Linked DNA regions of Struthio camelus. The protein of the gene in region 1 purifies or fractionates together with the protein of each later gene. This does not show direct contact. Links are inferred from orthologs where the notes say so. Each region holds a gene or a part of one and is shown in the gene's direction. Other genes may lie near its edges.

What was found.
Region 2: the proteins of DCP1B (region 1) and BAG4 purify together in Homo sapiens (affinity purification with mass spectrometry; 3 studies listed by BioGRID and IntAct, counting the BioPlex papers as one, with this or other methods). This does not show direct contact. The link is inferred for Struthio camelus from reciprocal best matches to the Homo sapiens genes DCP1B and BAG4.

Annotation. Positions count from the first base shown.
Region 1 is NC_090942.1:69,905,063-69,920,093, reverse strand, and holds the start of DCP1B (mRNA-decapping enzyme 1B), read left to right. Parts: upstream 1-6,915; 5' UTR 6,916-6,965; coding exon 6,966-7,118; intron 7,119-8,311; coding exon 8,312-8,352; intron 8,353-10,910; coding exon 10,911-11,038; intron 11,039-15,031. UniProt on the Homo sapiens protein: May play a role in the degradation of mRNAs, both in normal mRNA turnover and in nonsense-mediated mRNA decay. May remove the 7-methyl guanine cap structure from mRNA molecules, yielding a 5'-phosphorylated mRNA fragment and 7m-GDP.
Region 2 is NC_090968.1:7,088,257-7,103,632, forward strand, and holds the start of BAG4 (BAG family molecular chaperone regulator 4), read left to right. Parts: upstream 1-9,569; 5' UTR 9,570-9,584; coding exon 9,585-9,707; intron 9,708-9,779; exon of another isoform or gene 9,780-9,950; coding exon 9,951-10,061; intron 10,062-10,472; exon of another isoform or gene 10,473-10,609; coding exon of another isoform or gene 10,610-10,674; intron 10,675-12,908; coding exon 12,909-13,169; intron 13,170-13,636; coding exon 13,637-13,876; intron 13,877-13,969; coding exon of another isoform or gene 13,970-14,090; intron 14,091-14,810; coding exon 14,811-15,311; 3' UTR 15,312-15,376. Other genes in the region: G protein-coupled receptor kinase 5-like, read right to left, coding at 7,316-7,384, 9,136-9,181. UniProt on the Homo sapiens protein: Inhibits the chaperone activity of HSP70/HSC70 by promoting substrate release. Prevents constitutive TNFRSF1A signaling. Negative regulator of PRKN translocation to damaged mitochondria.

The DNA of each region.
Region 1 (15,031 bases):
TTGAAAGAAAATCTATTTTAAAACAAATATCACACTGATACTTGCTAGCAAAATAAAGCCAGTAATAAATAAAAATGAATACCCAAAATGATATGCCAAATGGAAAGATCATACTGTTATGGATTAGCTGATCCCATATTAAGAGAAAAATATAACAGCTTTTAAGCCTAACTTTAACTACGGAATATACGTTTGTGAGAACCTTCATAAGCGCTAGCTACCTTCAGAATCAGATACTAAGTAGCTATCAGCATCACAAGAATTTCCCTTTGGGAATCTGCACAAGCAGCTACAAAATTTTATTGAGGACACTTGAGGCAGAACACCCACCTTAACTCAGGCAGTCAACTGTGTAAAATAACTTTACTCAGTTACGTTACATCTATGACAACAATATACACGTAGACACAATTCACGTACAGTTCCTTGCTTATATAATCATTTATCTGTTGTAGCTCACTCTGGATTTCAGCAGTGCTACAACACTCCCACCAACTCCATTCACCTTTGCTGCATCTAATGCTATGGAATCCTTTACCAGAGTCTATAATAGACACTGACATTCTTCACTGCAAGAAGCAACAGCATTTTTGTCAGTTGAGAATGCAGTAATGTGAACTCCCTTGATAAAGCAACAGGTGTGATAGTAATTCAGAGCTTTCCCTTCCATGGTTTACACAGCCAAGCTAATTTCAATATGCAGAATTTGTTTTCATAAAAAGATACTTTAGCAGCAAGAGCACATTCCCCTTCTCCAGAACCCTTACCTTGGGATCCCTTTGCCCCAGCCAGACTCAGACCAGATACTCCTCTAGGCTTGCCACCAGCTCCTTAGCAGCAGCAGCAGCAGCACATCTCTGTAATGATACCATTTCTCTAACGTGGCAAGAGCTCCTGTGCCAGGTGAGGTGTAAAAATGAGGTCCTGGCTTAATGCAATTATCTAATGGAACTTTTCACATTAGTAAATAAAAGAGGCAATTTTCTCTGTAACTTGTTGGAAAATAGCTCTTTTAGAGCTACAGGTGTATGATTCTGCCAAATTAAATGGTGATTACTAGAAAGATGTGCTTGGAAATGTATAATTACTATTATATCTCATTAACCTATCGGAGATAGCAGGCATGGCCTATCATCAGTGTTTAGGTGGTTTGCCTGGCCAATCAACTGTGTAAAGAATGAAGCTGATGGATCAAATCAGTATATGGCAGTTTATCAGGATGGCAAGAAGGTAATGGATATCAACAGTATTTTATTGATTATAAGCACATACAGCTGTGGTAACAGAATTACTGAGGAGCTCAAATACTGGTCCCAAAAGAGTACCTTCTCATAATATAATCCAGTGTCAATTTTTTAACTGTAACTAAGGTAGCATTGCATTGACAGCAAAGTAGCTTGTAAAGTTAAACTTTAAGAGGACTATTGCTGAAGGAAGTCACTGATTTCTGATACATCAAATAATGAAAGAAGTTGAAAAAATGAGATTTGACAGGATTTTTTCTTTGTTCTGGCAGGAAAAGCCACAATGTATGTTTATAACTTTATCGGCTTTGGGAGAGGCTGGAGGAAGTAATTTAGAATTTTATTAACAGGTCTGATAGAAATTCTACTCGCGATCATATAGAAGTCAGGCAAAGTTTATGGGCAGAGGTAACACTTTTTATTGAATCAACTATTATAGTTGGGAAAAATATTTCAGATACAAAAATCTTTTGTGGGGTCTATAATCTTTTCATTTCTGCCCTACTAAAAGACAAAACACTGAAATATTATTACAGTCACTTAAAACATTTAAAATCTAACGCTGATAAAAATCAGAGTTTTTACAGATTAAATGTATATTAAAAAGATTTTTTTTTCTATATAACACTCTAATTCAATGGAATTTTATCGGTAAAAGTTCTCCCTTCCTGCTCCTGAAATACATAGTCTTTTCCTGATATTAGATCTTTTTTTCAGCTTAGTATATGCCTTTTGAAAAGTGATTAAAGTTAAACCAAAAAGAATTCTTCACTACAGAAGAATATCTACATAGGAAGTTATAGAGACAAAACTACACTATGGCTAACTACATTGGTTAATTTTCTTTTAATTGTTTTCTAGGCATGCCATTGGTAGAAGCTGGGCCTATAAACAGCTAATGCTAAGCATCTTGTAAATAAATATACACCAACAAAAAAAAAAGCTTAGAAGTTACTAACAGAATCACTTAGCAAAATGTAAGTCAAAACAAGCAATAGTATTTTGGTAAGAACCCAGGTCCTTATACACAAAAACACAAGGTTTTATGGAAAAGTCACAACAAATTGTAATTAATCATTTCAGACACAGTATCTGAATTTCCAAAGTAACAATGCCAAAGAATACCATCCTATTCTTGTGTGGACTAACATTTTGCAGAAAATCTCAAAATAGTCTCATAAACTTCACCAGGGAGCAATGTTAACCACACACATATGGATGCTAACAACTGCACGTGCTGTGGTTTATTCGGAGGTTGAATTTGAATGAAACTAATCAGATTTAATTTTAGTCTGGGGATAATTTTTGAATAATTGCACAGATGAAACTATGCAGTCTGTCTCTGTATATGCTAAGGATCCTTCAGCGAGTAGTAAATTACTAACAAAAAGACTAAAACTGCTTTACCCATTAGGATTGGAATTAAAAGGTGGTCCAACAATACAACCAACAATTTAGACTTTTCAGCTTGATGAAAGCACACTCTGAAGTTAGTTACTGAGAGCCTGTTGTAAATGTGGGGTAAAAACACCATGCATTTCAACAGCATTTGGGAAGGGATGTCGTCAGCCTCCAGTAGATTGCAAAGGCACTGGTTCCCCAGCAGTGAGAGGCACTTTGCTGAGGAGGCGCAAGCACATCCCCAGAGACATGGGAAACATGGGTGAACCAGCCCTGTCAGACCTGTCCGGCTCCTCAAGAGCCACCTACTCACCTACTGTTCTCCAGGAAGCCGGCATGCTGGGAAGCACTAAGCAAAGACATTGAAGTGGAGTGAACGGAGTGAGATGAGCTTATTAATGCTGTCTCAGCACCTTTCTGCTGGCAGGGGCAGCGGTGTTGCCACTGGTCAGAGTGAGAAGGAAATTATGGCAGCCTTGAGGAAGGAATAAGAAGCAAAGAGCAACTACCATGAGCTATTAGCTCCAGAGGAGTGCAACATGAGGAAGTGGAGCAAATGGGGTGTTCAACGCTATACATTTTCCTAAGTGAGACATGCCATTTAGTAAAAAAAAAAAAAAAAAAAAAAAAAATCACTCAAAGAAGGAACTGTATGTAAACAGATAGGAGAGCAGTCAATTGAATCTGCGATCTCAGCAGCAGGATGAACATTTGTTTTTCAATCAGTTCAGCTCCCAGTCTGACTGCTTCATGCTGTGGCCACACATGCACTTGTGCCAGTATCGTACAGAGATGCCAGCACGGCAGGAATGAATGCCTGGGACCTGGCACAGGGGCTGCATAAACTCAGCATTGTCACCTAATGAATTCATGTGAAATCATATTGTCGGTGTCAATAATTTGCTGCAGGAGGAAAGGCTCAGTCTTCACAAGTGACACAGATTCTTAAATGTGAAGCAAAGATGTAAAATCTGGTTTGAACTTAAAATCTGGTTTGAACAACTCTTGTGAAATGGTTTGGCCTAAATAGCTTACTTAGTGTTTGCTATTAACAGAGACCTTAAGAATGGCATGCTGTATAGATTTTGCCTTACATCAGTCTGGATATTACCTACTCAAAATCCCTTTCATACTGTTTCAAAAACATAGTTTTTTAATAGAATAGTATCCACGTGGGTGGAAGACAAAAACGTGACATTCTAATTATATACTTCATGAAATTACGACATTTTCAAAGCTAAAAAATGACTTTGTTTCATAAACAAATTACAGTAAAATCATTCTAACTTGATTTGATAGTTATTATAGACCATTGGATTACTGACTTACCGATGTAAGCAAATAAATACAGTTTAAAGATTCAACCTTTTAAAATTGTGACTTTTTGCTAAAATGTTCTTAACTTTTTAGATGTAGGGAGAATGTATAGTGTTTCTCTACTTACAAGACTTTGTTTCATTGGAAAATTTAAGTCTACTATCAAGTGATTCCATAAAGCAGGGTAAAGCTAATAGTTTTATTAAGTACCTTTGCTTCAGGCTAAATGGAAGGTGCAATTATGTCCCACTTAAACAGGAAAACAGCTGGAACCAGCAGAAGCTTCCACACAGCGCAGCAAGAAATATGAAATAGCCTGATCAGAAGCAATATAAATTCACTGACTATAAACGCAGGGCTGGGGAACTGCCTGTCAAGCTCTGTTAGAAAAACACAGTATTCCAGGAAGGAATTGGTACTAAAGGGGAGACGCAGTCATGAATAGGGCACTGAGAACAGACAGGCAAAACTTTTTGACAGGCCTACTTGAAGATTTTGACTTCACAGTTGGGTTTTTTTTCCATGGTGTGCAGGGAAACAGGACAGTTAGTGCATTGTTCGTATGCGAAGAGAAGGGCGCAAGAGACATACCTGACCCAGTCAGCCTGTCTCAAGGTCTCAAATGTTGGCTACTGCTTGGCCTGACAAAAGGGACAACAACAGACACAAGAGAAGTTGTAAAAATTGAAAGAGGCTTCACAAGTGGGGGAACCTTTTTTTAAAGTATTACTGTTGGAGGTAGCAAAGGCATCTTGCAAGGCAACGGCAGAAGTAGGGCTCCAAGTGACACTTCCATGCCTTGGTGACAAACGTCTCCTGTAAGCAGGAGACATGACAAAGAATCGGCAAGGGGATGGTAATGAGAAATTCCAGCACATGAGGAGGACTGTGACTGGCAGTGCCTCGAACCTGGGAATTGAAGATCATTTAACACCAAAAAGAAATGACTGTGGATCTGTTCACTACCTGAGCAACAGAAATTATCTTTCCTACTTACTTCTTTTTCTTTTTCTTACCATTTTAACCCTGTCATTTCTAAACCAAGCACGGTAGTTTCCCTTGTCCACCACGAACTATTGCATCTTCCTTGCTGTTACAGGATCTACGAGTCGGCCAGAGCTTTGCAGTAAAACAGCTGAGAACCTTTCCTCTACCATGAGTATATCAAAAACACCTAAACAACTTTTAAACTCCAAAGCTACGTTTCATTAGAGTCCTAGCTAGAACAAAGCAGCTTTAGAAAAAGAGAAAATAAGAGCAAGGCAGATCATAATAAAAGTCTCTAAAGAGGTTTCCCCCCCCACACAATATATACCTGCAGAGGAAGCTGTAGATCCGTGCTCTTAGTAAGGCAATTTTCAGTGGCTTTCTGGACTACAGCAAAACCTACACATTCCCTCCTAAGTCTCAGAGAAAAATCTCTTTATCTGACTTTTCTCTTGCTAGCTGAATGTCTGTTCCTAACTCAAGAGACTCACTGTCCCTACATTTAATACTACAAATCCCTATCTTGCTGTCTCCCAGCTCTTTCCTGTCCCCATATTACACTACAGAAATTTCATGCCCTGGGCTCAACCAGTTGCTCGCAGAGCAGATGTCTCTGCTTATTCTGTCCCACCTGACCCAGGGTGCAAAGGCAAGAGGAAAACAAAATGGAGGTCTTCCTTTTCTACGTCCAGCTACTACCCTTTTAAAAATGTATCATCCAGTATATTGCAAACTAACAAACAGGTGCCGTGCACTACCTTTGCCTTTAGTTATTCCAGAGTATCCCATTCTTTAGAAGAAAATATATTGCCCTGCTGCTGCTGTGCAGAGTGGTAACTCCTTGCAAAAGTGCTACAGCAGTCTGATGTGATGAAGTCCAGAGTTAAAAAGTCACCCTTTCACAGGGATGTCAGGCCGGACTGTTAACCAGATCTTTCACGTGTAACAGTATGTATTGAGTTTATCCGCATGCCACAGAAAGCTGATGTATTTGCTGTAAATTGTTGATATAACAGATTAATAAGAAAATACTTCTGGTTGATAGGAAAACTGAGTTTACGGTCCTATCAGTCTGTTCCTCTGTTGTTTGCTTGGTGGGTACTCATGTGCTCTTTGTTGCTTAAGTGCTATGCAGAAATACGCCCGAGCGTATGCCAGCAAATATAGAATTATGTGTACTTATAGGTCTTAACCAGCTTCTGTTCCCACACACGCGAGGGGTGCGTTGTGCTGGTAAGGACACAGGAAATACACATGCGCTTACAGACGCACACGCTAACTTTGTGCGCTCTTGCACATATATTCTCTGCAGTGGCACCCTGCTATGCCTGAATTTTCTTGTGCGTACATCAGCTCGTGGGTATACGAGGCTCCAATTCCACATTTTCCTGTGGCTCTCCCTTCTCTCGAGGATCTAGATTTTTGGAGCGTACCACGCCTTCACCTCGGCGCGCTGACAGGCGTAGTGTATGCGCATGCTGGACGCCTGGCTTGATACGCCCAATTCTCGCAACTTCGTGGCAAGTCTCTGTGGAGATTAGCTCTCTCTTTTAAACCTCTGGCTGGTTGTTACTGGCAGATCTCAACTGCCTGCTGCGACAAGGAAGTCAGCGGCCTCTGAGCCTTTCAGCACTGAGAGGCTGGAAAACGAAAGGGAGCACACAAACAGCCGGGCCAGCCAAGCCCGGCTGCGGGAGCCAAGCGAGGGCGCGGGGCAGGCGCTGAGGACGGGGCGGGCGGCCGGGACCGGCCGCCACCGGCTTCCCCGAGCCCGGGGCCAACGGCCGCCAGCCAGGCCGGGCCCGCAGCTTGCCTGTTACCAAGGGCAACACTCCTGAGCGAGCGGCACTCGGCGCTCGATTGCAGCGGCTGGTTTCCGACCCTCCCGCCCGCTCTCGTTCCGACTGGGCGGGAGTGAAGGGAAGCGGCGGGGAGGGGGGGGGGGAAGCACACCCTTCCTTTCGGCATTGGATTGGTTGCGCCTACTAGGAACCCTGTGTTGTTGTGGGAGGCAAAATGGCGGCGGCGGTGGCCGGGGCCGCCCTGCTGGGCAAGGGGCTGGACATCAGCCTGGCGGCGCTGCAGCAGCACGACCCCTACATCAGCAGCATCGTGGACGTGGCCAGCCAGGTGGCGCTCTACACCTTCGGGCACCGCGCCAACGAGTGGGTACGTGCGCCCGCCCCTCCCCCGGCCGGGCCCGGCCTGGCCGCGGCGCGAGTGGGGACCCCGCCCTCGCGGGGGGTGGGAGGTGGGGCGGGGCGTCGCGCGGAGGGGGAGGGGCGGGCAGAAGCGGGGCCCCGCCCCCCGCGCTGAGGGTGGGGGGAGGGGGGCGCCGAGGTGTGAGGGCGGTTGGCGGGCGCCCCACCCGCGACGGCTGCGCGCGGGCACCTCGCGGGGCCGAGGGAGGCCTGTCCGCCGGCTGCGTGGGGCTTCGCGGAGCCCCGTGGCGCCTAACAGGCGGGCTTTGAAGTGTCTGTGGGACTTTTTTACTCTGCAGGATTTGGGGGGGGAGGGGGAGATGGGGTTTTGAACCAGGCCGTGAGCAAGAAGAGCTGTCCCCTGTTTGAAAACGGTTAGTGACGGTTAGACCCGCAATACACAGAAAACTGTCAGCGTTGCAAATGTTACAAAGCAATTTAAGGTTAAAAAAAAAAAGTGCTGTTTAAGAAAAAATATCTTGGGCAATCCTTTGAAAATTTGTGAGGCTGTTAACGGATTGTTCTTGGGTTATTGCTATTACTGTTATTATTATAAGAGTTTTAAGGTCTGTGCCCCCAGCCGTGTTTGAAGAATGTGCGCAATATGCTTTCTGTATGTTTTCCCCCTAATCAGTCTTGGACGTTGCTCATGAGGACAGCGTCTATATGAAAACCTTTTCACAGAATCAGATTTGAGAGTCACCCTCAAACATACTTGAGTGTAGTGTTTACGCTCATGTTATTGGCTCTTTAGCTGGAAACAGCCCCCCCCATTGCGTCCTAAAGTACTTGCCCCCAGACATAGACAGGATATTGAGCATCAGTATCTATTGTGTCACTTAAGTGTGCTTTCTTGTTTGTTTCCAGTGACGTCTCATCGTTTATCCTGGCTGACAGGCTATAAACAGATTAGGAACTGACTGTGAGGCTTTATTAAAGAAAGAAAAAGCAGATCTAATAGTTCTCATATGTTGTCATAACACTAGCATCAGCTGCACAGTGATCTATGCTATTTGTAATCTATCACCACTGCCCATGAGGTAGGGTTTAGTTATTTTTTCGTTGCTTAAGTCAGAGAGGTGTAACTCCAGTTGATACGGTTAAAACAAAGATAATGCAGGCTTATTTATGCCTGAACTTTTTAACGTTCCTTTTGTTTAGGAGAAGACTGATGTGGAAGGAACACTGTTTGTTTACGCAAGGTAAGAATGTTATATTTTAGTGCTTGCACATGAAAAGTGGATGTGGAAAACCTAGCTAGGAGACAGTTTGGCCAGTTGAAGTATCATGTTCAAATCCTGTCGTATTCCAAGGTGAAAAGAAATTGAAAACTGAAAGAAGACAATGCATAGAAGAAAACATTGGGAAGGAGGCATCACCTTGAATGTGAATAAGACTTCAAAATATAATTTGAAACTCAATATGGATGAACCAGAGAAATCTGTGATATTGTTTTAAATAGGATGTAGCATTTGTCCTTTAAAAGGTATCTGAAAAAAAAATCAAATAATGATGTTCATTATGTTTAGGGAATGACAGGATTTAAACAAATTTTTTTTTTATTGTGTAGGGGAACATTCATGTTACTTGTCTTTGATTACTAATTTTCCATGCATATTTCCTCCCAAGGTTTTGGATGTTTTTAATGCTTTTGCTCTGCAATGGCTGTGGTTGTGGAGGATTTCTTTTTAATTAATATGTTTAGGTGTATGTTACATTTGCAGTTTTTTCACTTACATTTAAATATTTCCACTTAAGAATAGGTCTGTTGAGATGAGAAATCCTTACGATGTTCAGATATTTTACAAACAATGCTTTTCAGAGCATCCATCAGATCCTCCGTTCTAATATTCTGTGTACTAGATCTGTTGTAAAGCCTGTCTTATCTTCAGACAGGGTTTCCAAAGTAGTGTCCCCCCGCCCCAATTTTTGCATGACTAATATTAAGTGCAGAAAATAACATAGTTGACAGATCTTGCAGTAGCTGCTGGAAGGGACACTGAAGCAGGTAAACAGACTTTGTCCTTCAACTTTTATGCTTTTGAGGCTCCAATAGGAGCACTGAGAAAGCAAAGGATTCTTTTGAGTGGGCAAGAGTCTTATGTATGAAGTGACAAACTGACAAGGAGAAGGCACAAGAGAATATGAACTGCGGGAGGTGGGAATGCTGATTTTAATCTTTTGAACTCCTTCTTACCAGCAGTAGGAATCATTAGTAGTAATTTTTCTAACCTCCTTTTTGGGTAAGTGAAGGGGAACAAAAAGATAATATGAGATGCTATTAAAGTTACCACTGCAAGATGGAAGAACTGGCCCTTCTTTGTGCTAGCAATAGCATCGGGTGCCTAGCTGTGTACTGTGCAATAGAAGTAGTATTTCTCTGGGAAGTTGGATGTAGATCTCTGGAACTGACAACATGTAGGCCTGGCATTTCTAGCACCTGTGTTCTTCCATGGTTCTTTTTGTTCCCTGTAGAGAAGGGAAGCTGAGGAAGTTTCCATTTACGTCAAAAATTCCCACCCTTGCTGCCCTACAGTGAACAATACTGAACAGGTTGTGAGCTGTGGGTGACATCATACATTGACCTCCCTATCAGTTTCAGTTTTGAATTTTCTGTGGCTTTGAACAAAGTCATAAAATCTTGTTGGAGAAACATTACCAACAGACCACATGTTGGAGGCAACTGATGTTGCCTTTGTTGCTTCCTTATTACCATTGTAATGAAGTAATGTGACCATTTTACTTGAGCTGGATTATTTATCACCTATCCCATCTTGGAGAACTCTCAGGAAGTTTCAAAAATCGGACTTCCCACTGGGTTAACACCAGTGGAAGTGGACTATTTAAAAACAAAAAAGAGGGAAAAAGTACTGGCTGTTGCAAACAAGGATTCTTCTTCAGGTTTCCACCTTTTGTTGAATTTTCTGTTACCTCCCATCCTGTGATGCAAGTTCCTGTGCTTTGGGTTTCATAGAGACATCCACCTATCAGCGAATACCAGAGTTGGCACTTTTCCCAAACATTTAGCCATTATCTTGTCCTTTAGCGTCAAACTCAATTTGACAGTAATAGCTTCTGTCAGAATTGGTGGTAGGGTTAACAGCTCATGTTAACAGAAATTATCTAACTGACTTAGGAGTGTAACCCCTATGAAACAGCATAATATGATTTATGTTCTTATATTTTAGATGGTATTGAAAATCCTATCTGGGCTGACGGTTGTCACATGCAATCGTTATCTGAATATTAAACAACAGACCGTGCTCTGGTCCATGACTGAATCTTTCTAGTTGCTGTTTTCATCTCCAGCAAGAAACCATAGGCTAGGTGTTGATGATTGGGTAGTGTGATGCTAGTGGTCTGGGACAGAGTGTCATTTAGTAATATGTTGCCTGTTCAGAAGTTGTAGGCCTTATAACTCAATGCAAAAACTGGGCATGCCTACATGATTAATGCTGTATATGTAATTGATGTGACTAAATCATTGGGCCTCAAATGGTAGTGTCACAGATGCTGCATAGTCTCTGCAGTTATTGTGAACAGTGGTGCTTTGGTCATTTCTCTTACAGAATGTTTTGAAATAATTAAAAGGATTATATGAAAGACTGCAAGACTCAATTGTTACTTCCTTGACAACCGAATTAGATTTTTGAAATATCTGTTAAAAAAGAAAAACAATTTTGGAAAACTATACAACAAAAGATTATGGTTGTTTCTATTTTTCTTTGACCTGATATGATTTCGACTTGGTAATTTTCAGATCGGCTTCTCCAAGGCATGGCTTCACAATTATGAACAGGCTGAGCATGGAAAATCGAACAGAACCAATTACTAAAGACCTCGATTTCCAGCTGCAGGACCCTTTTCTACTTTACAGAAATGCCAGATGTAAGTGTGTGATATGTTGGGTTAAATGTTTAAGTAGTCAGCTCTTCTTCAGAGTCTCTTTTCTGTTTAAGGCAGTCAAAGTGATTGAAGACTACAGCCTTCAAGGGCTGAAACTAGCTGGCTAATGGTTATAATTGAAGGAATACATTTTTTGGTTTGAAGTGCTGAAAGAGAAGAGTCGCTCAGTGCTTCCTAAAATACCACTTTTCTCAAGAAAGCATTTAAACATGCTTAACACGTAATCTTTCCCTTAATTGACAAATAGTAGATTTTTATGGTAAAGTGTACATGATGGGTGTGAATACTCATATGGGATAGTGTTTGTGTTCTGTATATACTTCAGTGAGTGTTGAAAGTCTTGTCATAAAAGAGAATCCACCGAAGGTTGGAGTGATGTACTGATCTTGGTGTTCTGAATAAAGACAGACAAAAACAGCCAATTCAAACCCTGCCTTCTGCTCCAGCTCTAGTATACTCTCCTTACAGCAAGTTGAAGAAGGGCTTACTCCTTGACTATTAGGGGTAACTGACCTGAAAATAGTGCTAATATGGAGTTGAGCCTCATTTAATCCCTGATGAGAGACAAAGTTATTACTTTGGGCTCTGTGCTTGTCTTATATAATTATCAGGCTTCTATGTGAGAATTGGCAAATGTGAGGGAAACTGAGAAACGAGTTGGAAGACATGAGAATGCTGTACCTTTGCTTGCAAATATACACAGAACCATTGCAACATGCAATTATGTGTGAATGAGCATTTATAAATATACAAGTTTGTCTGTACTTGGAAGTAGAGCTGTAGCGTGATCTATATTTTGTGCTTGGTGCATAGGAACAAATTCCAAAAATTCTTTATGTGAACTGTGATCCAGAAGTGTTCCCTCTGAATGAAGTAAGAACTGAGGAAAGTCATGGCATCCAAAGCAGTATAGTTTGATAATCCACTAGATCTTCTTTTTTCCTAAACTCAATGTGGAGCTCGAAAATATATCAAGAGTGAGTTCTGTTGCTCATACACAGTATGTGGCATAAATAATAACAGTGAAATAACATTTCAAATAGTTTAAATGAAAATTCTATTTCTGAGAGTTTTTGATATGCTGAAAAAGAGGTAAAATTCCCTCTTTTAAATTCCCAAAGAAACTGAAAAGAAATACATACATCTCCAGGCTAACTTAGACATTAGGATTTTAAGCAATGTTAAGTACCACAAGACCCATTTATCCCATCTGATTTTGATGAATCTTTTCTATGTATATAGGGTTTTTTATCTCGTTTTAAATTCCCAGTAGGAATTTGTATATGCATATACTAATATCTCCCTTTTGAAGTGTAAAGCTATGAATTTCTTTATTTTTGCTGAGATACAAGTTATGTTAATTTTTATTTGTGTTGAGACACAATTTATATAAAAAATAGTTAGAGGGAAGTTTTTTATTATAACTCTCTATGGTGACATAATGGAAGTAAGACAATCTTTAGTCTGAATACTGCATATGAACTGAATTTTTTTTTTAATAGCAGAAACGATTGCTTGGTTTTTGAGGTGTAAACAGTTTGTTCACTAAGAGATGTCAGAAATTAAGTTTGCCGAGTCTTAAACACAGGTACTAACATATGCTTCTGAGCAGTGGGCTTCTGTTCAAGTCATTTGCCTGGGCCTTTTTGGCTAATCGTGTAACAAAAAAATGCAGGCTTCCTTTCTGGATTCTTCTGTCTAAACAATGGTTGTTTTAGGGCAGGATTTCTATCTGGCAACTCAAAGGTGGATTTTGTTGAAAAATTTGTTGCCAGTCAGCCTCTGCAAATTGGTGCCTCTCTGCTCTTCTGTGCAGGAGAATTTTACTGAATCCTTCGATATTCAGCTTTAAGACTTATCATGCAAAATGGACTAGCCAGCTATACACACCAAGGAATTCCTTTACTTAAATTAGCTATTGCTCCTTTCTGATAGTAGATTTCACAAATCTGTACTAGGAGGCACTACCACAAAGAATTTTCAGTGTGCATTAAAGAACAAATCCAACAAGCCTACCAAACAGACTAAGGGAATGGAGGCAGGGGAGTTGGAGCAGGGGAGGTGAAAGCCTGTCTTCAGAGATGACCTACACTGACAGTTTGTCAGCGCCAATATGAAGGTACCAAAATTTTTCTTTCGTGTTAGGATCTCTCAGCTACCAGAATGAGTGTCGTCTTGGCCTCATGGCACTCCTTGCTCTGTCATTCAGTTGAGGATAAGCATGAGAAAGAGAGTACCAAAACCCCAGCTAGTGCGCTCCTAGTTTTCTAAAGTCTGCTTCAGCAATAGTTTTGGTGAGTCTTTTTTTTTCCAGAGTTAACTGCTCCATCTGACTATGGTGAAATCTATGTCTTAGTTAATTTGAGTGTTTCATTATGTGAGAAAAGGTTCACGTTTGCTTTACTGAAAAATCCACTGGTTTACGGCATCAGGTAGTATCAGGTATGTTCTAGGTATACGGATACGTGTTACCCCTTGTTACTTATCTTTCTAAAATAGTCTTATAAAGGTTTAATCATTAATTCTCCAAGAAAGTGAAAGCTTTGATATTTCAAAAGAAAACCTGTTATTTTCTCAGACTTCCATGGAAACAGTTAGGTCTGCAGAACAAACTGGGTTTACAGGCCCATAGAATAAAGTTATTTACCACCCCTTTTGACCTTTCCAGATTTTCTTTAGGTCATGCAGATAATTTACATGATGATTTCTCCACAAACTTCAGTCCTTTTCTCCCCTATTGTATATTTCAAAGTCTTTACTACATAAAATAAAGTAACTTCCTCAACATTAAATATCCATCTTCACTAGGTTCTCATCTAATCATGATCGCAAATATCCACCTTGAATTTTTGCTATAAATGTTTTCATTGGGTTTTGCTTTATTGTACAACTTCTAGTTATCATTTTTGCTAAACGGAGGCTTCTGGCTTTTTCCTTATTACATAGAATTTTCAGTCAAAACCTATCCTTCGTAGGCACTAATGTTATAATGTTATTTTTATTTCCTGCTTCCAGATACTAATAGAGGACTATTCAGAAATAGCTGTTTACTTGGCTCAACCTTGGATAGTTTGGAAGTAACACTTATTGGGATCTGGAAACAAGTTGCCTTTTCTAATCTTTCATTTAAATCAGTTACTTCTTACTCTGTTTGTCATAGAAATCTTACTAGATGTGACATAACTAGGACAGTTTCCTCTGTGTTTTAAGGTATAGTTCCTTTCTCATATAAGATGATTTGTATTTGATTTTCGTGAAAATGTAAATTTCAGCAAAAACAAAAGCAAGCATTGGGAAGAATAAGAAAGACCTGTCCAGACTTTTATTTGTTGCAGTGTTATGAATGTTTGTTGAAACTAGTTTCGTTTCAGTAGAACTGAATATCTTCGTCTGGTACAATGTAAAGTAAGTGCTCTTGACAGCAAAGGGTGTTACTTTTGCACGAGACAAGTCTGCAACGTTTTGTCATGTTATACTTATCATTTTAGAAAGACTGCTTTGCACCCACTATATGATTACAATAGAAAAAGTTTTTCAAAATGATACATAATAATGCTAAGGTTTATGAATACTTAAAATAAAAAAGGAGTATTTGATCTTTTCACTTTCCTAGGTTTTATATAGCTTCTATTTTTTTCCATATGATCTTGTTTTGTCTTAGTGATCTAAAGTCTGTTGTCTAAAAACATTGGTACAGACACCTACACTCTAATCCCAGGACTCTTCAGGCTGGATTTGGAAGACCAGCCAGTTACTGTTTGCGCTGATCCATTATTTAACAAAAAAAGGTTTTATCTGTTAAAGTAAGGCTACAAACTAGGGTTATTCATTTGAAAGCCAGAAGAGAAGCTCAAATTACAGTGTTTGAGGCCAGCAAAAATCCTTGTCTAAGTACACCAAGAAACAAAGGGTTTATGGGTCAAATAAGCATTTTCAATATGATCCTTAAATTTATGTAGTTAACTGTAGTTTAAG
Region 2 (15,376 bases), on another chromosome or scaffold:
GCCAGCATGGGGGACCAGGAGAGAGACCAGGACAAGGAGCTGGGACAGGGATGGGGACATGGAGCCAGCATGGGGGACCAGGAGAGAGACCAGGGCGAGAAGCTGGGATAGGGATGGGGACACGGAGCCGGGAGAGGGATGGGGACATGGAGCCAGCATGGGGGACCAGGAGAAAGACCAGGGCAAGGAGCTGGGACAAGGATGGGGACACGGAGCCGGGATGGACAACTGGAACAGGGACCAACACGAGGAGCTGGGACGGGGATGGGGTCACGGAGCTGGTGGGGGGGCGGGATGGGGAGGCGGATGCAGGACGGGGCGGCGGTACCTTCGCGGGCCTTGAGCAGGACGGTGTTGGCCACGATGTTCTCCAGCTCCATGGCGCGGGGAGGGCCGCGGCGCAGCCCCGCCGCCCGCACACCATGCCCGGCGCTGCCGCTGCCCCGGCCCCGGCCCCGGCCCCGGCGGGGCGGGCCGCCCCCGCCCCGCCCCCGACGCGTCACCGCCGTGACGTCACGGGCCGCCCCTCGGCGTCACGGCGCGGGCGGCGCCTTACGTAAGGGGGCAGCGCGGCAGCCCGCCGCCCGGGGGCGCCCCCGCAGCGCTCGGGGCCCCAGGTGAGACCCCCCCCGAAGCCCCGTCCAGACGTGGGGGCTCCAGGTGAGACCCGTCCAGACGTGGGGGCTCCATCGAGCCCCTCCTCGTGTGCCCGATGCCAGGGCTCCATCAAGCCCCGTCCAGACGTGGGGGCTCCATCAAGCCCCGTCCAGACGTGGGGGCTCCATCAAGCCCCTCCTCGTGTGCCCGATGCCAGGGCTCCATCAAGCCCCGTCCAGACGTGGGGGCTCCGTCGAGCCCCTCCTCGCGTGCCCGATGCCAGGGCTCCATCAAGCCCCGTCCAGACGTGGGGGCTCCGTCGAGCCCCTCCTCGCGTGCCCGATGCCAGGGCTCCATCAAGCCCCATCCAGATGTGGGGGCTCCACTAAATCCCCCCCCCAAAGTCCCATATTGGGGGCTCTGCTCATCCTCCCCAGCTATTCCAGATGTGGGGGCTTCATTGAGCCCCCCTCCCAGGTATTTCAAGGGAGGGGCTCTGCTCAGCCTCCCCCAGGTATTCAAGGTGGGTGGCTCCGCTCAGCCCCCCGGCTGTCCCCAGCCCGGGCGGGACACCCCTCGCACAGGCTCCCCTAGCGAGCAGCACCTGAGCGGGCCGGGAAGGACACGGAGCCGCTCCGAGCTTCGCCTTCCGCACGCTCCACCTCGGCGGGGACGGCACAGACACCCACGGCCCGCATCTGCCTCCCCCGCCAGCGCTTCCCCTCCCCTCGCTCCAACGCGTCCTGCCACCCCGCAGCACTGCGGACCACCGGCAGAGCAGGAGAAACCCTCCGGAGCGCGGGAGCCACGCTGCTACTGCAGCAACAGCCAAGGCCTTTTAGCAGGCCTGGGAGACCACCACCACCACACCATTTTTTCCAGGTGCAGGAGCCTCCCGTGCCGATTGTGGCGCAGAGCTCCCGGGCCAGCTCCGGGGCTCGGCCACCTCTGCCCGAGGCGCCAGCACGGTTCGCAACCGGTGCCGGCTCCGCTGAGCCTACCCACAAGCGCATCGCCTGTGCTACGCGCTGCCCCCATCGAAATGGCCCAGTCTGCCCAGTGCATTTACTTCTGTTTATGCCTTATACGTGACCAAACTCTCAAGTATCCCATTTAAGCCTATAAAGCACAGTGCAGAAGTAGACAACAGCAGCAGAGCAGATGTTAGCAGGTATGTTCTCCAAATTCAACAGGAACAAACTGATGGGCCATGGGAAAAATGATACTTCTGGACTGCCTATCCAACCCTGGGAGAAGGGGACGGTCTCAAACTCTCATACTTCCAGGCCAAGCTTAACACAAGAGCAGGAAGGTAATCACTATGTTCATGTTGGCTGCTTGCTTTTCAGGAGGGCTACAATGAAACCTGTTCGTACTAAACATTTGCACTACTGGGTAAAGCAGATCTCGTCACACTTTCCCACCGCTCTGAAAGAAATTGGCTGTCGGAAGCAAAAACCTGCTCTTGGAGGCAACCTTCTCAATCTGAATCCTCACAACTTCTCTTTTGCTGGAGCCCAGCACTTGAGAGAGGCCTGCACATGCTCCTTCCCTTCAGGAGTGCTCTTCAGTCTCACAGAGAGTCTGTTCTACACACAGAGTAATTTTCTTCCTTCTTGCCTTTACAGAGTTTGGCCTGAAGTGTCTTTACGTACAAGGCTCCACAGCCTGGCAGCTGCCCAAAACCAACCACTGCTTTTGCTGTTTGCTACCATCTGGTGTAGAAAGGCAGCTGTCTTAGATTTTAGCACTTTAATGATGATGTAAGACACCCAAGAGCATCAGAACAAACTCAACAGCAAGAATATCTCCCACCTTCTGGAGCCTCTGCCACCATCATCAACCCACCAAGCTTAAGAAATGCCGCTAGAGGAAGTGGGGCTGGTTCTGCTGCAAGGGGAAGAGCCCCAGGGGGCTGTGCCAAGCTCAGGTGAGACAGGTCTGACAATTAGTGGGTCATTAGTGGACTCAGCTCAGCTGCTGAGGCCTGCTCAGATGGGAGCAGGTATCAGCATTGACGACCTGCAGAGCAGATGGGGAGCCTAGAAGCGTTCCCACTCTTGCGGGGGGCAGGAGGTACCCGACCACGGTGCAAAGAGGTCCTGCTCCCCTCCCTGGGCAGAGGGAGGTCACTACAGCAAGACCTAAGCTTTTACTAGTACTGAGCACAACCTACAGCCAAACTCAAGAGCCCTGCTCTCTTTGCCATCCTGGGCACCCCCAGGTTCACAGCATCCCTGGCAGGGAGGACAGTGGGCATAAGTCTCCACTCAAGACTAACAGAAGGTTGGTTGTCCCATGATCCAGCATCCAGAACCCAGAAAGACGAGAACGCAGCAAATCCCAAACACAGGCAAAACCGACATTGTTGAGATTGAGGATTTATTTACATGTCAAGGAACGCTCTCATTCAGAGTCACATAAGAAGGGGGAAAAAAAATAAAAAAAGGATCAAGTGATTTGCCTCCTGAACAACATAAACTCTTACTCACACCAGAGCATTTGGTTACCTTAAAGGATAATCAAACACCTTCACTCCTCAACAAGGGTCTTGTGAAGAGAAACTAAAGGCATGATTTTAACAGCTATCTGTCATCGAAAACAATCTTAAAATAAAAACAGCCTTTGCAAAGAGATCTGTCAACACATGGTCAAATCATAAAGCACTCCTCGCTCCACCTCACAGGAAACTGTCCAAGGGGCAGAACAGCTAATACTCGTCCAGGGTGTCTGCCCGCGGGACTGAAAGGCCCCGCTCCTTTAGCGCCTGCACTTTCAGCTTCTCTGACTCTTGCTTGGCCTGCTGTTCCACCCGCTGCTCCTCCAGGATCTCCTCTATCGAGACCTGCTGTAAAGGTGTGTCGCTTTCTTTTTCCAGGTCCTGCAAGAGAAACAGGCCATTTAGCATCGCAAAGCAGATGCTACATCCAAGACCCGAAGCTCTGCTCGCGAGGCTTTCCTGAAACTGCTCAGCTTGCAGGGAACACTCAGGCCCAGGCCGGTTTCATCTTTGCGGAGCGCATATCGCTCACATGACGCTGGCCAGAGGCAGAACCGGTCTGAGGGGGCTAGAAGCAGCTGGGTGGACCTGGACTGCAAAGGTCCAGGGTGGAGATCTGCACTCACATCTCCACAGGGGTGCTAACACACCAACCCTACATTCTTGGACTTCTGTGACATCCGAGCGCTTCCTGCAAACAACTGGCAAGGCTCTGTGCCCCCAGGAAGGGGTGGCATTGCTGTACCAAAGATGACTGGCTTGATCTCTCTTGCCAAAGTCATTGGAGTGGGACAGTTCCTGAGGTGAGGAGCTGAGCCATGCAGCCGGACTGCGGTGGGGTCTGGGCAGCTTGTGCCCACACATCTTCCCATAGTCCAGTCAAGAGCCAGATGCGATGCAACAGGGAGGTGCTGCAGGCACCCCGAAGGTGGAAACGTGGGCAGGAAACCACATTGAGAAAAGGGCCCTAGAAACCCTGATTGAATGCAACTGGAGGAAAAACTGAAAACAGGAGTCCAAGGGAGAGGGGGATTCCTGCGGAACAGCCAAGCTGAGTGTAACCCAAGGGGGCCAAAGTGAAGAAAAAATTAGACAGTACTTGACTCCTCCTGAATGCATGTCAAACAGTGTCCTTTAGTATGCAGCAGCAGGGAGGTGACCGTTCCACAGCCAGCCACTAATGACACCCTCAAGCAATGCCACATGCAGGCCAGGGCTTTTCTAGGTCTCCTCCAGGCACGCACTCACTCACCAGTTCGTATTTTGCTCCGAGTGTCTTCTTTACCCCCAAATCATCCAAGACGACTCACAGCTGAAGGGAGAGGGGTCTCGGCTGCAACCCTTCCCACCTGATTCCCATGCACTCAGCTACACTAGGACACTTTTGGTAGGATGCACTCAGAATGAGCCCGACTGCCAGCTAGGACTAAACGATGCCTTCTATACTGCAGGAACAGTACGTGCTCAAACACTTCAGCCTCTCTCAAACACCTCAAGGCACGTTCCAAGAAGCAGCGCTGAGCGTTACATAACTCTCCCTGCACGGCCTTCTCCAGCAGGAGGGTGGCAATATTTCACAGCAGACACTGGTTCAGCCACGAGCAACAGAAAAAATCCACATGCTGTCTCTGGCTGGAGAGACCCAGCTCCGTTGGCAGTGCTGCTCGGAGTAATTGTAGCTACAGATATCACCAGCTATTTAACCCTGGACCACAACTGAGCCATTGCTCCAGGCCAGCAGTAGACAAGAGAGCCAGGCAGAAAGAGCTGCTTACTTACTATTTCCCCCAGCAGAACAACGTTCTCGCCTCTCACAACAAAGATGCCTCGAGGGATGTCCCCATACTTCTTGCCCACGTGAATGCGCTCCACAGTCTGGTGCAACACCAAGTTTGCTGCAGCGATCAAGAGAAAAAGAAAACATCCATCTTTCACTTTGTTTCTAGCTAAAGAGAACATCTCATCTGAGCCAGGCAACACACCCACAGCTGAGATGGCATGGTCACTGATAAGCACCTCCACTGCTTCTTGGCAGATCCTTTGAACCAGACCATGAAAGGAACCAGATTTCTCCCCTACTGAAACGCGGCTGCTGCACTTCAGCTTTAGCAATCGACACAGCCACCTCCAGGCAGCAGCTGAAACCCCAGTTCCTTGCGCTAGGAGCTGCAGCATGGGCAGAACAGGAGCTTGAGGGCAGGGACTCCTTCTTACGGCCTGTGCACACAGGACAGAGATGGGACAAGCAAGCTCAGAACAGGGAGAAGCAGCAGCAGCAGCGTCGGAAACAGAACCAGGAAACTCAAACTGTTGATAGGGTTGCTATTCACCCAAACACCATGTGTTGACAGCATGAGAGTCAGGGCCAAGGGGAAAACGATGTTATCTTTGGTGCCGTAGATTCTGGGGCAAGGACTAAGACGTTTTATCTTAAGCACAGACATAAAACACAAAAATCCCAGGCTGTTGAGAGATACTTCTCAAATGCTGATTTCACAAGAAGAGAAGTTAGAGCATCAAATTAACATCTGACAAAATCATGAAGGAGGAAGGGAAGCAGAGGGGAGGGGAAGGGAAGGGGAGCAGAGGGGAGGGAAACAGCCACACAGCTTTTACAAGAAGTTTCAGTAAACCACCAAATCACATCTGATGTATTTGTTTAAACCGCAGTGATTGACAGAGAACAGATACTTCTCCAATTAGCAACCAAGGTTAGATGCATTATCTATAAAGCCAGAGACCTCGTAAATCTGTTTTTTGCAATAAGTTGCCTAATCCGGAAAAAAAAACCCTGCAGCTACCCTTCGCATAAACAAGAGGGGGTACATGCTCAGAAAGGATGTTTACAATGCCAGCTCCCATAGAAGAGGAACACCTAAGTGAATTTTTAAAACACAACACAAACAAGCTTTAAAGCTTGACTTTCAAATCATATCATTCTATGCACAGCAAGCACCTTTTTCATTAGAACTTAAGATTGTTTTTAGTCAAGGAAATATGTAATTCTGCTCACAACTGGCACATGCAAAAAGCATTGTCTGCCTGACCCAGACACAGCCCACGCTGCGACCAGGCTCCCAGACCGTGGGCTGATTTTACTCCTGTTTAAGTGAACAGGGAGAGCAGACCCTGAACACACAACTAATACTTGCCCTGGATCGCGCCAAGTCCAGGCTAAACTCTTCGCCTCTCCCTTGTTTCAGCCAAACACGCAAGCGTGCGGCTCCCTTGACAGCCTTCCCGATCTCACCTAGCGCCGCGCAGCCCGATTCAGAGGCCTCTGCTCTGCCACGAGGATCCTCTGGCAGGTGCCTCACCCCTGCAAAGCCCTTTCTGGTGGGGGCAAGGAGGAGGAAAAGAGTAGGGAATTTGCCAGATTTGGGCATTCGCGCAGAACCACAAACGTGCAAAAACCACTACTCTCAGGAAGAGCTGGTGCAAACGTTTCCACCTGGAGACCGGTCCCTCGAACGCTGCAAGAGGACGAGCCCAAACAGCTGCTGCAGCACGGCCGCAGGGCTGGAGACAGCGGCAGAGCTTCACTCGGGCCAGAACCAAAAAACTCCGCTTGCGTTTTCACACGGCAGCCAGCCGTATTTTCCCTGTCCTGACGCTACGCAGCGGGGGACGGGCGGAGAGGCACCACCTGCCAACGGCCCTAGCAGAGAGGCGCAGCGCGGCTGAACTTCTGCTCCGCGCACAGCCCCAGCGTTGGTGTCTCCTGCAAGTTCACCGCCGGCCCAGGACCCTGCTGTCAGCCCCACGCGTCCCCTGCCCCGTCCCCTCGCGCACCCTGCCCGCCGGGGCCTGGCTCCTCCTTGCGGCGAGCGACAAGCCAGAGCGGCAGCACAAACCACGTTCAGGGCTGCCGAGTCGCCAGTAAGGACACCCGGGTTTGATGCAGAGCGCAGACGGCGCATCGCGAGCGAGAAAACCACCTAAACGTCCCCCCCTCTGTTTTCTCTCTGTAACCCCAAACAGTGTTTTTAAAGCTCTTTCTGGAAACATATCCAAAAATCAGGAAACAGCTCGGTGCCGCGCGTGCCCCGGCTGCGGACGGACTGCTCAGAAACGGCTCCTGCCGTGGGGCAGGAGGCGCCGGCTCCTCTCCTGGCTGGCAGCAAGGTTTGAGCGCGGACCAAGCCAACCCCCCCCCCCCCCCCAACCGCCCCGCAAACGGAGCGGCGAAAGCAGCCGAGCGCGGCCGGCGACACGTACCGAACTGGTCGATGCTGCGCAGGTACCCGATCAGCGTGCGGCCGTCCCGGAGCAGCACCAGGTGCTTCTCTGAAAGAGAGCCCAGAGCCCGCTCAGCCGCGGCGGCGCTGACCGCTGCCCCAGCGGGGGGGCAGCCCCAGGGCCACCGAGCGGGGGCCCACGGGAGGGGTCTGGGGGGGGGTCACCCGACCCACGTGGGGCTCACCCACCCCATGCCAGGACCCACGGGGGGGCTCCCTAGAGGACTCAGCTGACCCACGGGGAGTCGGGGCCCACGGGGGGGTCTGGGGGACTCACCCACCCCACGCCGGGGTCCACCCGGGTCTCCTTAGAGGACTCAGCTGACCCACGGGGGGGTCTGGGGGACTCACCCACCCCACGCCGGGGCCCACCCGGGTCTCCTTAGAGGACTCAGCCGACCCACATGGGGTCGGTGCCCACGGAGGGGGTCTGGGGGGCCCACGGGGGGCTCCCTAGAGGAATCAGCCGGCCCAAGGGGGGTCGGTGCCCACGGAGGGGGTCTGGGGGGCCCACAGGGGGCTCCCTAGAGGAATCAGCCAGCCCAAGGGGGGTCGGTGCCCACGGGGGAGGGTATGGGGGGCCCACAGGGGGCTCCATAGAGGACTCAGCCAGCCCAAGGGGGTTCGGTGCCCACGGGGGGGTCTGGGGGGCCCACGGGGGGGGTCCCTAGAGGAACCAGCCAGCCCACGGGGGGTCAGTGCCCACGGGGGGGTCCGGGGAGGCCCACGGGGGGGCTCCCTAGAGGACTCAGCCGACCCACATGGGGTCGGTGCCCACGGAGGGGGTCTGGGGGGCCCACGGGGGGCTCCCTAGAGGAATCAGCCGGCCCAAGGGGGGTCGGTGCCCACGGGGGAGAGTATGGGGGGCCCACAGGGGGCTCCATAGAGGACTCAGCCAGCCCAAGGGGGGTCGGTGCCCACGGGGGGGTCTGGGGGGCCCACGGGGGGGTCCCTAGAGGAACCAGCCAGCCCACGGGGGGTCAGTGCCCACGGGGGGGTCTGGGGAGGCCCACGGGGGGGCTCCCTAGAGGACTCAGACGATCCACGTGGGGTCGGTGCCCACGGGGGGGTCTAGGGAGGCCCACGGGGGGGTCCCTAGAGGACTCAGCCGACCCACGGGGGGTCAGTGCCCACGGGGGGGGGTCTGGGGAGGCCCACGGGGGGGTCCCTAGAGGACTCAGCCGACCCACGGGGGGTCAGTGCCCACGGGGGGGGGTCTGGGGGGCCCACAGGGGGCTCCCTACAGGACTCATCCGATCCACGTGGGGTCGGTACCCACGGGGGGGGTCCCTAGAGGAACCAGCCGACCCACGTGGGGTCGGTGCCCACGGAGGGGTTCTGAGGGGGCCCACAGGGGGCTCCCTACAGGACTCATCCGATCCACGTGGGGTCGGTGCCCACGGGGGGGTCCCTAGAGGACTCAGCCGACCCACGGGGGGTCAGTGCCCACGGGGGGGGTCTGAGGAGGCCCACGGGGGGGTCCCTAGAGGACTCAGCCGACCCACGGGGGGTCAGTGCCCACGGGGGGGGTCTGAGGAGGCCCACGGGGGGGTCCCTAGAGGACTCAGCCGACCCACGGGGGGTCAGTGCCCACGGGGGGGCTCCGGGGAGGCCCACAGGAGGCTCCCTAGAGGACTCAGCCGACCCACGGGGGGTCGGTGCCCACGGCGGGGTCTGGGGGGCTCACCCGCCCCACGCCGGGGCCCACCCGCGGCTCCCCCGCCCGACACGAGGTCCCCGCCCGGGGGCTCCCGTCTCCCCCCCGCGGGGGCGGCGCGGAGGGCGGCGGCCGACACTCACTGTCGATGTCCTGGATGAGGCTGGCCGTGCCCGGCATGTAGTTCATGGTGCCGCCGCTGCCGCCGCGCCGAGCGGAAGCGCCGCCATGCGCCGCCGGAACCGCCCCGCGGCCACGCCTCCGGGCGGGGCCTCGTCGCGGCCACGCCCGCTCTTGGGCGGGGCCTCGTCGCGGCCACGCCCCCGGCCAGGCCGCCCTGCCGCGGGCGGGAGCGGGGGCGAGGGGCGCCGGTGCCTGGTGCGCCCCCCGCGGCCCCTGCCCCTTTAAGCCGCGCCGGGGGCGGCGCCGCCGCTGCCCTTGGGGCTCATCCCATTGGCTGCCGGCGGAGAGGCGGGCGGGATATCCGCGGGCGCTCGCCGCCCATTGGCGGGTGTTGCGGCCGCGCCGCGAGGCGATTGGCGCGGTAGCGGCGGCGACGTCCGGCCCGGTAGCGGCCCCAGCGGCGCCCACCATGGAGCCTCGCGGGTGCCCGCCGGGCCGCGGCGCCGCGCAGGGCCCGTCGTGGCCCCCCGGGTCCTACTGCCCGCCGGCCGCGGCGGGGGGCGGCGGCTGGGAGCGCCCGGGCGGCGCGCAGGTAACGGCGGGCGGCGGGGGCCGGGAGCCGCCGGGGAGGGTCGGCGAGGGAGAAGCGGGCGGGGGGCGAGGCAGGCGGGCGGGCGCCAGCGCTGCGAGCCAGCCACGGAGCGCCCTGTCGTCGGGGCGGTCGCCGCGCGCCAGGGCCGCCGCCGCCGCTTCTCGCCCGTGCCCCCCTTCCCGGAAGGGGCGGCCTCCCGCTCGCCGCTACAAGAAAGCGAGTCTCCTTCCTTCCGCCCTCTAGGAGCAGACACCGTACCCTGGGTACGCGCCCCGCTACTGGAGCGCGGCCGCGCAGCCTCCAACCGCCTACGCCTCCAGCCCCTGTCCCTCCGCGCCTGACGGGCAAGGCCAGGTACGGCGAGGAAAACCTTCCCCTCGTGGTTCCCTCGAAACCCGAGGTGTCTGCTGAGGCCTGGCTACGCCTGGAGGCCTGGGGCTGAGACCGGCTGAGCTGGAAGCGGGAGCCGGGACTCTCGGTTGCCTCCCACGGCAGACGTCCCAGGGCGTTTGGCTCCCTTTGCCCTTTCCCCCTTGCTCCGGGAGCTTCCAGTAATGCTCTGCACTGGCGCTTCAAAGTACTGAACGGAGGCTAGCAGCCCGCTCGGGAACGCCCTAGCAAACGGCGTGCTGCAAGCGGTGACAGCTCCCGGCCCTTCCTGCACAAAGCACTGTCAGGTCCATAGCCTGCGGACACCCATCACAGATCCCCCCCCCGTCCATAACTGGAGAAATGACCCCAAACGACTCTGAGATCTCACGGATCTCATTCTTGCCTTATGCCTAGAGGAGGGGCCTGGCAGAGAGGCGATGTGACTAGCTGGAGCTGGGAAATCCGTGGCTCTAATGCCCTGCTCGCCTTGAGTTAGCAGGGCTTGGAGCGAGAGCGTGCTTCGTTGCCGGATGGCGGCACTTCGGTCTGCTCCGCGGGTTTCTCTCCCTGTCCTCTCCCCCACGGCTACGTGCTGGTGAGATGCCTTGTCTGCCCTCAATGTTGCTGCAACTCCTGTGCTCCCTTCTGCGCGTGGGTGGCCTCTGAATCTTCTCAGCTCACAGAAATAAACAGATTCGTTCTTCTGCCATCTAGTTATGAGCAGTGTTAGGACCAACTTGAAGATTCTACCCTACCCAGAAATTACCTGTTACTTTCAAAGCATTCTTGACGCTGAATCATAATGTTATCTAGCTGTGCCAGACTGTCTGGATTTTTAAGTTCATGTCTTATGTCTTTAAGTGTAACTGTGTTTTTTTTTTTTTTTTAATGGTCTTGTAGCTTCATGTGCAAACCATTTTGCATTAAATAAGAATCTGGTCTCCCGTTCTGCTGGTTTGGGGCAGGTGTTTTTAATTGAAGAAAATGGAAGACGATGAACAGGGTAGAAAGTTTTATCTTAATATCCAGGTCAAGGTGAAATTTTTAAGTTATATATATATTTTTTTAATGAAGAGACTGCTGGGGCAACGCTGCCATCCTTGATTTGTCTGCTGCCAGGAGATGACTGGTAAGAATTGGGAATCACCATGTAATGCATACACTGGTCCCAACTAATAGATTCTTTATCGAGAAACAGAATTGTCTGTTCTCCGATGTGAATGTGGAACTCGGGAATCTAATGCCCGACACCTAAAGGCACAGCAAACTAAAGATGTCAGCTGCACAGACAGTGATATGTGTACGGTCAACCTCATCCCTGGGAAGGAATTGGCAGTCTGCAGGATGGCACGATTTACATCACGTGTCTGACCCCAGGTAGAGGGCAGGCACGAGTTAGCTGCTCCTGCTGCAGGAAGAGAGGAAGAGGAAAAAAAGCTTACATGTTCCCTTTATGTCCCGTGACTCACTCTTCCTGGGATTTATTATTTGTTGTTCTGAATGCAGCAGTAGTGTTTTTTTTTTAGGGACCATTGCACAAATATCGTGCAAAGAAAAGGGCTTTACTCTTTCCAAAGAGGTCGTCTGCTGGTTGTACAGACGTAACTATGGTTTGTTCTAATTCTATGTGACGTTTAGGTTTGCTTTAGCTGGTTTCTAAGTCCTGGAGCAGGTGATCCGGTCTCTCCTTTATGAAACAGCTCACAGGCAAAGAACTGAAGCCCAAAGCTACTAGGGAGCTGTCAGTGAGCTGCTGAAATGCTAACACTTGAGCTTCCGTCTTACCATAGCTCAGACACTTATGTTCAGTATAAATTAAGTACTCAAATATGTTCAAATAAATTACCATAAATGCTCTGGACATACAGATATTGCCTATAAAAAGTTCTCACAAATTTGACTGTTTCTACTGCGGCAGCCATATCTGCAGCTTAGTGATCCGACTGCCTTGTTCCTTAGGCTCAAGGCGAGTAGATCTAGTCATCTTGGATTGTTTCTGTTTGTAGATTGAAAAAGGAAATGAACTTCCCTGGAGCGTTTTTCATCTACCAATCAGTTTCAATCAGTGACTAAATTGACCTAGTTAAATCTAACAGCTGAAAGCTGGAGCATGGCACAGACTGAATCGGCCTGACTGAATCAGTTATGGCCTGATCCCCAAAAATGGGACGAGCAGGCCAGATGCTGCCTGCTGGAGGTCTGTGTCCTTAGTGGAGTTCTCTTTGGACTGCAAAGAGATGGGGACCAGTGCTGAGCCCTGGTGATGCCTTTGAGTAGGAGGGACAGGATGCCAGGACAGAGAACAGATGGGGAAGGCTCAGCTTGCCTTTCTTCAGCGAGAATCCGCAGCTGAAGTGGGAAAAGGCTATTGTTGGTGTTTGTTAGAGGCAAGGACAGAAGATGCACACAAAGGTATTTTGGCTGCACGTTTGTAAAGCTTTTGTGAGAGTGCTGAGAGATACCCACATTTTTTGAGAAAAGGAAGGAGGAAAATGCAAGAGGAAAATGGTCTTGTGAGCTAGCTGGTTCCCAGCAAGCCCCTGTTGATGGAGTACTGTAAATCCCTTCTCTGTGTCTGCTTTCTCGGCCTTCCACCACCATGAAAAGCCATGCTCTATTTAATGGGAAGCTAGGCTGAAAGTCCTGGGTGAGGGAACAGAGTGTGGTTCCTGCAGCAATGTTTCCGGGGTGGTGTGGGCATCTGGCATGGAAGCTTGGCTCCAGGCCTGAGATGAGGCCCTGTGCATGCCATTCTGCCAGAGCTGAGCCCCTCTGCCCGGCGCTGTGTTCATCATGCTTCCTCCGCTTTACCTCTTTCTTCCTTCCCAGGGGGTGGATTCTCCCTACACGAATGGAGCATATGGCACCCCATACCCCTCAGCTCCCGGCTCTGCTCCGCATTACGCCGGCCTGCCGCAAACACGAGCTTACTATTCCTCCGGGCCACCGCGGACTCCCTACCCTGCGGAGTCCCCAGGCTTGTACAGGCCGCCATCACCTGCTCCTCCCTGGAGCTACAGCCCACCAGACTGCCCGGCAGAAGGCTCCTCTCTCAGGCAACAGCAAGTTCCTGCGTACTCCCCGCCACAGGTAAGAGGCAGGCCCTGGCCAGAGCAACTTTCCAGCTGGGCCCTGGGCTGCTGCAGTAAGCCTGACTTTGGTTTTGGGACAACCATTCAGCTTCCTGTGCTCAGAGCGTGCTTGGTTCCATGTGAGAAGTTTTACTGGGCCCCAGCAGAGGGAAAAGTCCAGAGTGTCTCCCCTGATGGATCCCTGGGTGTTTGGACTTGCTTATGTTGTGCTGAGTTGGGCTTTAAATCGTTTAAATAGCTTTCATGTCTTGAACAACTAGCCCACCCATTCTTATAAAAACTTGTAATCACCCTCTTCTCCAAAGCCTATAAGTTTATAGGCTAGAAAAGCAGAAACCAGGTAGTGAGTTTGACTGCAGCTCTTCCCAGAGCTGTTTGGAGGGTTGAAGCAATCAGGATGTATTTCTGTTGGCTGACTGAAAATGACTTGGGGGTAACGCTTGTTTTCCCTACCTCTTCCTCCAGACTCCAGGAATGCCTGTCCCGCAGTATCCCTACGGAGAAGCCAACCCAGGCATTACCCCGCAGGGGCCTGCACCGCAGCCCAGACCCCAGGAGGAATCGTGGGCTCCCTCTGCAGTCTACGGGATGCAGCCGCGTTACGCGTGGCCTGCTGCTTCGGCACATGGGAACCCGTTCATCTCCGAATCGCATCCGTCCTGGACTGGCAGTGGAGCTCCTTGTCCTCCCACTCAGGACTCAAAGGTAACAGTTGATGCTTTGATGGCCTGTTACAGCTTGTGTGCCTGCCGCATCCTGACTGCGGTTAATCTCTTAAATTATGCTGCTTTCCTCAAGAGCTGGTTTTGTCTCCTGGGAATGCCCTTTTCTGTGGCTGCAGCTGGCTTCTGTTACGCGGAAACAAAGCAGAAGTATTTGTGTACTGAAGACCAAAATCCGGAGCTGTAATTCCAGAAAGGTGCTGGAGATAACTGACCTTCCAGGGCATGGCTTGAAATGGGTCAGACCTGGTCTCTCTTGTCTAATACTTCTCTCTGAAGCAGCTAACGCTGTCAGAAATCCCCCAGTGAAGAGGTGTGCGATTAATCTTTGAGTCAGTTTGCAGACTCAAGTATTCTAAGGATTTTTTTTTATTTTTTAAAGCAAAAAATACATGGAAGTGATGCATTTGGTGGGGGGTGGTTCATCTCCCCTTCCTTTGGGTTTGATCAAGAATTAAATGGCTCCCCAGAGGTTTGGTACCAAGGCAGCAGTGTTGGCAGAGCCCTGTTGGAGGATGTAGCTACATGGACAGGGGTTACTGCTATCTGGAAACTGTTAGAAATTGTGCTCCCTGCAGAGGAGCGTCACCTCCAGTACATCCAAATAGGCTCTTGCCAAAATCCATTCAGCATTTGCCCTCTTCAGGTGTAATGAGTACTCGGTGACTCACCATTCCCATATTATGACATCATGGTGCATGACACTCTAGAAAATGCAGCCCAGATCCCTAGTAATGTCATGCTTAACCCCATTCTGCCCCACGCTCTAGGCACAAACACCTCAAGGCAGTCACAGTGCTACCTGCCTCCCAGCTCTCTCGGGTTCTTCTTGCTCACCTTTTTAATGCAAGAGGAGAGATTAAAAAAAACTGGCATTAGGGGAAAGGCACCTAAAGATTTTTTGCTTTTGATTGCAGGATACTGCTTATGATAAACCTGAGCAAAGTGCAAACCAGCAGAACTACTATTCTGATGTCAATCACCAGCTCTCTGGGACAATGAATGATCACAAGCCGACTCCATTCAATGCCAAGCCATCCCTTTCAAACTCCAAAGTGCAATACAGTGCACAGCCCCAAATGTATGACAATGTAAATCGGAAGCTTTCGGCTGGGAATCAGGAGGCAGGCTGTAAAGCTGCTGACCAGTCTTCAACAAATTCTGCAGCCATCCCACCAGAGATTCAGAGAATCCTACATGTTACGGAGGAGGCTGAACAACTAGAACAAGAGGTGGATGAATTTGTAGGGAAAAAGACAGATAAATCCTACCGGCTTCTGGAAGAGATGCTGACCAAGTTGCTGTTGGAACTGGATTCTATAGAGACTGGTGGCCAGGACAGCGTTCGGCAGGCTAGGAAAGAAGCTGTCCACAGAATTCAGGCCATTCTGGAAAAACTGGAAAGAAAGGGATTGTGAAAGCATATCAATCACAACACACAGCCTGTTGTTGAGTTCTCAAAGAGTTTTAGTTCTGTTAAATA